Linked DNA regions of Callithrix jacchus. The protein of the gene in region 1 interacts with the protein of each later gene in a pairwise test. Links are inferred from orthologs where the notes say so. Each region holds a gene or a part of one and is shown in the gene's direction. Other genes may lie near its edges.

Region 1 (4,592 bases):
CAGATAAAAATACAGAACAGGGCCGGGCACGGTGGCTCACGCCTGTAATCCCAGCACTTTCAGCGGCCAAGGTGGGCGGATCACGAGGTCAGGAGATCGAGACCATCCTGGCTAACATGGTGAAACCCCATCTCTATCAAAAATACAAAAATTAGCCACGTGTGGTGGCACGTGCCTGTAGTCCCAGCTACTTGGGAGGCTGAGGCAGGAGAATCACCTGAACCTGGGAGGCAGAGGTTGCAGTGAACTGAGATCACACCACTGAACTCCAGCCTGGCATCAGAGTGAGACTCTGTCTAAAAAAACAAATACAGAACATCTATTTGAATTTCAGATTGATAATAATTTAATATACGTATGTCCTGTGCAATACTTGGGCCATATTTACACTAATACTAAAACAATGTTTTGGTAGATGTATATCCCATGCTACATTAGTTTAGCAATATACCTACTCTAAAAATTACTTGTTGTTTATCTGAAAATTCAACGTTACTGGGTATTTGTATTTTTATTGCTAAATCTGCCAACCCAGGTTGTCTAAAGTCACGTTTTTCCACTTCACTTAATATTCTTTTCACAGTCCACTCTGATGAGAGATGTAGGTTCCCCACACTCCTTTGAACTGCTTTTGTCAAGGATGTCAATGACTGGCATATGCCAAACTCAGTTGTCTTTGGAGTCTTGGCCTCACAGTACTTCTGAACATTGTCAATCAATTCCTCCTTCCTGAAACTATCTAGCTTCCAGAATCTGCGATCCCCACTTTCCTGATTGTCCTTCCTCCTTGGCCATAGCCCCCTGACCCTTTAGCATCCCCCCTAACCAGTGCATTCCTCAGACCCCGAGTATCCCCCCTGCCGACCCAGTGCATTTCCCCAGCCTGGAGCATCCCCTCCCTGACCCCGAGCATCCCGCCGACCCAAGCATCCCCTCGACTCCATGCATCCCCGATCCCCAGCATCTCTCCGACTCTGCGCATCCTCTGACCTGGTGCGGCGCCCTGACCCACTGCAGTCCCTAAACCCCTGCAGCCTCCTGACTCCATCCATCCTCCCGACCCAGGGTTGCTCCTGACTCAATGTTGCTCCCGCCCCGACCCCAGTGCCTCCTCTTGACCTGATGCGGCCCCTGACCTGGTAGAGTCCCCTGACTTCAGTGCATCCTTCTGACCCAGTGCAGCCCTTTGAGCTGGTGCATCCTCCTTACCCAGTGTGGCCCCCTGGGGATGCACACTCCAGTGCATCCTCCTGACCCGATGCTTCTTCTGCTCTCGGCACGGCCTCCTGACCTGGTGCAGCCCTCTGATTCCATGCATCCCCCTGTTCCGGAGCGGTCCCCTGACCCAGTGCAGGGCCCATCGTTGTGAACTGTGGCCCCATAAACGCACTATCATCTCGCAGCCTCTTTGAGGTCACCGAGGGCTCGGGGATGGATGGTGCACACGGCCCGCCCCCTGAGTTTATATCCTTCTCTTTCTCCCTCGCCGCTCCCCATTTCCCGCCACTGCAAAGACTCCCAGCAAAAACCTCCTACTCGTGTCCATTCAGGCGGCTGGGTCCCTCGGAATCCAAGGCAGTCCTACATCCACCGCCCACGGCCCCTGCTGACCTCCCGTACCCGCGCGGGTCCCCTCCCTCCTCTACCCTCCCAGGGAGGCTCCTCCCATCGACGACTCGGCGCTCGACTGCCCGGCGGATCTACGCGCTCGGCGCTCGCGGCGGGCGGAAGTGAGGTGCCGGCAGCTGGCGGTCGCGGAGCCTTCGGCGAGACCCACCCGGTCCTGTCTTTGCCTGCCGTGGGGGGCTGCAGGCCGGCAGGAGGTATGTGTGGGAGGATGGAGGGCCTGGCCGAAGGCCAGCGGGGCATGGACGTCAGCCGCGCGGAGGCGGCCGATGGCGGCGTCCGTCCAGGCCTCAGCTGTGAAGGGACAACCGCGCCCACCCGCGCCGTCGGTCACCTGCGGGGCCCTGCGACCCAGTGCAGTTCCCAGCCCCGCCGCCCCCACCCCCGCTGTCAGGCGCCAGCGGGGCTCTGTGCCTATCCCCGCAGTTCCCAGCCCTGCCGTCCCCACCTGCGCCGGTGCGGAGCGTGTGGGCTGCAGAGGGCAAACCCCGCGCCCCGTCTGCCGGAACTGTACCCCTCACGCGCCGTGCGTAGTTGCCACTCTGAGATTTGATAATTTCTCGGAAAGCAAACAGGAGGCAGGTTTTACCTGTCTGCCTAGGAATGCATCCCGCTCTGGCTGTCCTTAGCGCTTAAAAGGCGCCTGCCACTGTTGTCAGCGTTTGCGTGCACGGACTTGATCCTCGCGCTTGGGTAGACGGTGCCTGTGACCCCATTTTACAGATAGAGGAGCGGCGGCTCAGAGTGCTTGAGCAAAGAGCCTTAGTTCCTGCTGTAGCTGCCATTGAGGCCTTGCGCAACGGCTCCAAATCCGCACAGCAGCAGTCTGGAAGCCTGCTGATGCATAACGCTGTATCCCAAGGTTTTTAAATAAACACTTAGTTCCAAGAAACAGTTCTTGAAACAACTCGTCTTTGAATGGAAGTAAGTTATTTTTAATCTGCCAAAGGTCAACATACTAATAAGTCTGGGAAATTTTAAGTTTGATGCCTTTGTGAATTTGTGAGTAAACTTACAAGGGACACTTAAATATTTTTCTAAGTTAGCCACACTTTAGTTAAATCGTTTGTGTGCCCTATGCAGTATTGAAAGGTTAGTTCTGAGCTTACGTATGGATCTGTCTCCTAGTGCATGATAATGTTTTGTTTATGAATGTTAGTACATACTGGCCCATGATTTGTGTAACTGACTCCTTTAATGACAAATCAACTGAAAGCCAAAATCCTCCCAAGGATGATTTTTGTGCTTTTAAAAGTTGGTGATTCGCAGAGTATTACGAGAAAGAGTGATGTCTGCTTAGTACTTACCTCTTGTTTGCTTACGTAGAAAGTTAATAAATTTAAGGAAAGAAGCAGAGATTCCCCCAGTGTGACTTGGAACAACTCTTGGAAGTTTTAGAAACTAGTCTTTTTTTCTTGTCAAGTTTTTAATTTCCTGCACTGAATGCCATTTTGAACTACAGTTGACCCTCCAACAACGCTGGGGTTAGGGTGCCCACGCAGTCAGAAATTCCCGTGTAAATTTTATTCCCCCAGGATTTAACTCCTAATAGCCTCCTGTCGACCAGAAAGAAGCCTTACTGATACATAAACAGTTGACTAACATGTATTTTGTATGTTATATGTATTATATCCTGTATGATAATAAAGTAAGCTAGAGAGAGGAAAATGTTAAGAAAATCACAAGGAAGAGAAAAAATATTTGCTCTTGAGTGAAAGTGGAGCACCATGAAGGTGTTCATCCCCATAGTCTTCATGAATAGATTGTGGAGGAGGAGGAAGAGGAGCGATTGTCTCAGGGGTGGCTGAGATGGAAGAGATGGAGGAGGTGGAAGGGGAAGTGGGAGAGGCAGGCACACTCAGTGCAACTTGTATTGAAATAAGTCTGTGTATAAGTGGACCTGCCTTGTTCCAACCTCTGTTGCTGAAGGGTCAACTGTATTACTTTTCTAAAAGATGATTATTAGCTTGCTAAGTTAAGTTCTTGGGAGCCCATTATGAAACAATCCTATGGGCAATGAAGTTGGTACTCAAAAAGTTTTGCATGGATAGTCTTCTAGACTTTTAATAATTTCTGGTGTCAAGCAGCAGTAAGATTAGGCCATACAGGAAATGCTAGTTGCAGGGGTATTTTCTCAGTTACTTTTCCACTCATTCTCTAGTTTACCCATGTTAATATAGCCAGGGCTCCTACTCCAGTATCTGCCACATAGTAGGTGCTTAAATGTTCATTGAAAAGATGAATTTTTGGTCGTTGTTGAGAGGATTTTGAAACTGGGAAGTAATATTCATTCATCACTCTGCTAAGCAGTGTACTAGGATGTTGATTGTTCTCAGATCCTGGGGAGTATGTTCATGGATTCTCTGGACTGCCTACTGAAATCACATGGTGGTAGTGTTGACTTCTAATCAAATGCTTTAGAGTATGTTTCTGTTAGTTTGAAATTATTATTGACATGAATACACAAACTTAAAATAATTGTGGGGAAATTATGAATCTTAAAGCAGTAGGTGACACATCCATGGGCATCCTTGGATCTGTTTGTGTATTGATTGATTAATTGATTGAAAGGGGGTCTCACTCTGTCACCCAGGCTAGAGTGCAGTGGCACAATCACAACACACTGCAGCCTTGATTGTCAGGGCCACAGAAATGCCTCCCACCTCAGCCTCCCAAGTAGCTGGGACCTCAGGTGCGTGCCACCTTGTTTGGCTAATTTTTAAAATTATTTGTGGAGAGGAGGTCTCACTATGTTGCCCATGCTGGTCTTGAACTTCTGAACTCTGCCTCCCAGAGTGCTGGTATTATAGGAGTGACCCACTGTGCCTGGCAACTCTTTATTTTCTTAATATATACGGAGTCTTGCTCTGTCACCTAGGCTGGAGTGCAGTGGCTCAGTCTCAGCTGACTTGGAACCTCTGCCTCCTGGGCTCAAGCGATTCTCCTGTGTCAGCCTCCTGAGTAGC
Region 2 (3,812 bases), on another chromosome or scaffold:
CGGCTAAGACGCGGGCCAACGTGGACAAGGTAGGCATGCATTCTGTGTGCTTCTCAGAAACACACTTGAGAAACAGCAGAATGGAGGCGTCTCACCTGCTAGTTTATATGGGGAACCATTTATGAAAACTAGGCAAAGATTCTGATTTCTCTGAATGTCTAAGCCATGATCATGATTGCAATGAGAAACATTGAGAGGATATCACCCTGTATTTCAAACACCCCCAGAACGTTTCATGTTGTCATGAGGCTTCATTAGAGTAGAGTATGCTTAATGTGTGTGGTTTTTTTTTTAAAGACAAAGTCTTAACTCTGACACAAGGCTGGTGTGGTGTGATCTCAGTTCACTGCAACCTCTGCTTCTTGGGCTCAAGCAATCTTCCTACCTCAGCCTCCCGAGTAGCTGGGACTATAGGTGTGCACCGGCTATTTTTTGTAATTTTTTGTGGAGATGGGGTTTCACCATGTTGCCCAGACTGGTTTCAAATTCCTGGACTCAAGTGATCTGCCCGCCTCAGCCTCCCAAAGTGCCGGGATTACAGGTGTGAGCCACCACACCTGGCTGAGTATACTTACTGTTGATTTGGTCCTGGGAAGGATGGTGGGACAAGACCATTGGTTTGTGAAGGCTGGGCTGGAAGGATGGACCTCCTTAGCTGTGTGTGTGCTCTCACGTTCCACAGCCTTGCTCTTCAGGAGCAGGATGAGCGGGCCTGGCTGCTTCCAGGAGGTTCCCCTGGAGGTTCCCTTGAAAGATACATGGAGCTTCTTGATTTTGCTCTCATTGAGTTATTGGTTAAATTTGTTCTTTTTACCTTACTGTTCACTGACAGAGCCATGGTGGTCTGTCTTTGTAGTGTAGTATCTAAATAGTATTTGCTCCCAGAAATCAACTCTCTGGATCTCTCTTTTTTTTTTTCTCTCTCTTATCCCATCCCAGCATACTTTCTCATTCAAATCTTTGAAACTAATAAAAGGGTGACTTTGAGTGACAATGATGAATGCTGACAATTTGAAAATCCACCTCTCCAGGCTTGCTATTGTCAGGCCTTTTGTCTTTTTAAAATTAAGGTTCAAGGTGGTTGCCACACAGCTAAAATCTTAAAGCTTTACCTTAAAGAGGAGACTTCCCTTCTGCCTTGACCTCGTTCACTAGCTCTCAGTGCACATCCACGCGCTTGCAGAATCTCAGCCCTTTGGCAGCCGCACAGTGGACACGTCTGCTTTTAGTTCTGCAGCATTAGCATCCGGATCCCCCACTCCCGTCTTCTGTTTCTCTTTCTTGTGCAGAAACAATTCCCGTGTGCTTCATTATCTGACAAGGGAGAGATTTTTATCCAAGCTTTATTTTCACTTGAAATGATGCTAGAAGAACGTTGGTGTTTGGAATGTTGGTATTAGAAGGAATTTGCTTTAGATGCACTTTGGCAGTATACATCTATTTGTATGTATCGTACATAAAAACATATATCATAGGTGACATACATATGTGGGATAGATATACATATGGGATATTTATATTCTACAACCGAAGTCCGTTTAGTTTTCGTCTGCTATGTGAGGCGTGTGTTCCTGTCAGCTTTTCTTTAGATTGTCATCTCTCAACGCTTACACTCTTATGTTCTTGTGCTACTTAAAATATTTTTATCAAATTATTTTCCAGCTATGGAAACCACACAGGAAATCCAGAGATATGCCTCATTTTTAATTGGAACTGCGGATGCGTATTAATTGGATGGGTTGTGGTAGGGGGGTGTGTGTTGTAATTTCCCCTCGTCTGCTGGACCAGCTTGACCTGCCAAATGGGAACCAGCAGAAACTTAGGACTGTCAGCATTGTATTCACTTGTAAAGAATTTACGTGAAAGGTGTGATAAGATCAGCCCGTGAACAACTTTGTCATCGTTCTAAGTTGGACGCACTCCATTCCCCTCCTCTCGTCTTGTGCTGTTAGGACAAAAGAAAAAAAAAAGGGAAACCAATAGCATTTGAAGCTGTTCACTGTTGCTGTCACCGGCAGCGCTCTTTCTGGAGAGTGGAGAGGCTGGCGAGAAGGGGTGTTTGGGTTGGCCTGATCCAGCTGGGGCCTGAGGTTCTGAGGTTGGGGGTGCTTTTTTGTGCCTGGAGCTGGTGTTAAATGCATGGGGAGCCCCACACTCCAGAGGCTTGGTCTTGCTTTTCACCAAGAAGAAGGTGTGGCCATGAAGGAGTTTGTGGTATTGTGTGAATGTCCAAAGATAAAGGCTTGTGCTCAGTCCCCCACTTTCAGTCTCCGTCATTCTCTATGAGAAATCTCAAATGTGTCTTCATGAGATTCATATTTTGTCTGCCTGGGTATAATCAGTCCTCTGGCCTGATTGCTGGTAGCAGAGGGCAAAACCCAAACTACTGTGACAAAAGGATAATCCGTATCTAAATAACACACTGACCTTCAAAGGACAAGTCTCGTCAGTTCTTGATAAAGTTCCTCTCAGCTGACATCACAAGGGATGGAGGAGTGGTTATTCCTGAGAATAGAGGCGGGGGAGTGTGCGTGGGGAGGGATAGGGTGGCTAGAAGGACATCACTCATCCTCCATCTTCTCAGTCCCCTAGGGCAGGAGCTTTAGTTGTTGATGCTTTATGCCCTCCTCCTCCTACCCTGCCACCTCCCCAGGGCTACTGTTGTGGACTTCACTGGGAAAGCTGTCATGCAGAATGAGGACCCACCCTCCATGGGGTCCGTGTAAGATTCAATGAGATGCAGAAGTGTAAAGCGTACCTAGGAGCAGGGACTCATCGTGGCATCTTCCCTTTCCTGGAGGTTGGACGTGCTAGAAAGTCTGCTTGCTGTTGTTACTCTCAATATTTGTAAGCTTTGTAAATTTATAGATCTGTTCTATACAAAAACACATTTTATCCTTCATCATACTTATTGTAAGAAAAGATTTTATCATTTTGAAAGCAGCTATTAGGCTGGGTGCAGTGGCTCACGCCTATAATCCCAGCACTTTAGGAGGCCGAGGTGGGTGGATTGCTTGAGCTCAGGAGTTCAAAGACTGGTTTGGGCAACATAGAGAGACCCTGTCTGACTCAAAAAAAAAAAAAAAAAAATGCAGCTGGTACACAGTAATAACAGTATGATGATTCTGTCCCTGGCTTGAGCAGTTGTGTGAGAGATGTTTACTTTCTATAATTAGCATGTTTTTAAGGTTAATTTTGCTTATTTGCCCCAGATCTTTTGTTTTTGTTGACATCTGGTTTACAAAACTAAGTTTGACTTTATGCTTTAAAATATACATATCCATCTTAGTCAGATTATCTCATTGAATCCTTAAATGCTGTGTTCACAGTGTCAGGTTAACAACAACAACAAAATCATTAAATGGCTTTTTCTTCACTATTCTTTTTACTCCTTCCTCCCCATTCCCCAGGTGTTCTTTGACCTTATGCGAGAAATCAGAGCTAAGAAGATGTCAGAAAACAAAGACAAGAATGGCAAGAAAAGCAGCAAGAACAAGAAAAGTTTTAAAGAAAGATGTTGCTTACTATGAATGTCAAGGTGATGGATGAAGCCAGTTGCCCCTAAAGACACAGGGCTGGGTTGGTAAAGAGAAGGCTGTGGTTGACTTCTTGCCTGTGCTTCCCGCTCTCCCCAGCTTCATTCACTCAGACTTCTTGAAATGGAGAAAAATATTTGTGACTCAGTGGCTGGCAGAAGAAATAAGCCCATGCAGTGGAACTGCTGCTTTGTCAGGAGGTCGTGGAGTTTTTTCCTCCCTCCCTTCTTCCTTCCCAAAAGCTTCACTATGTATAAAGTGCCACAGGTGGGAAAC

What was found.
Region 2: the proteins of EXOC2 (region 1) and RALB interact in a two-hybrid assay, tested with the Homo sapiens proteins (2 studies listed by BioGRID). The link is inferred for Callithrix jacchus from reciprocal best matches to the Homo sapiens genes EXOC2 and RALB.

Annotation. Positions count from the first base shown.
Region 1 is NC_133505.1:31,010,961-31,015,552, forward strand, and holds the start of EXOC2 (exocyst complex component 2), read left to right. Parts: upstream 1-1,713; 5' UTR 1,714-2,550; intron 2,551-4,592. UniProt on the Homo sapiens protein: Component of the exocyst complex involved in the docking of exocytic vesicles with fusion sites on the plasma membrane.
Region 2 is NC_133507.1:104,871,615-104,875,426, forward strand, and holds part of RALB (ras-related protein Ral-B), read left to right. Parts: coding exon 1-29; intron 30-3,410; coding exon 3,411-3,530; 3' UTR 3,531-3,812. UniProt on the Homo sapiens protein: Multifunctional GTPase involved in a variety of cellular processes including gene expression, cell migration, cell proliferation, oncogenic transformation and membrane trafficking.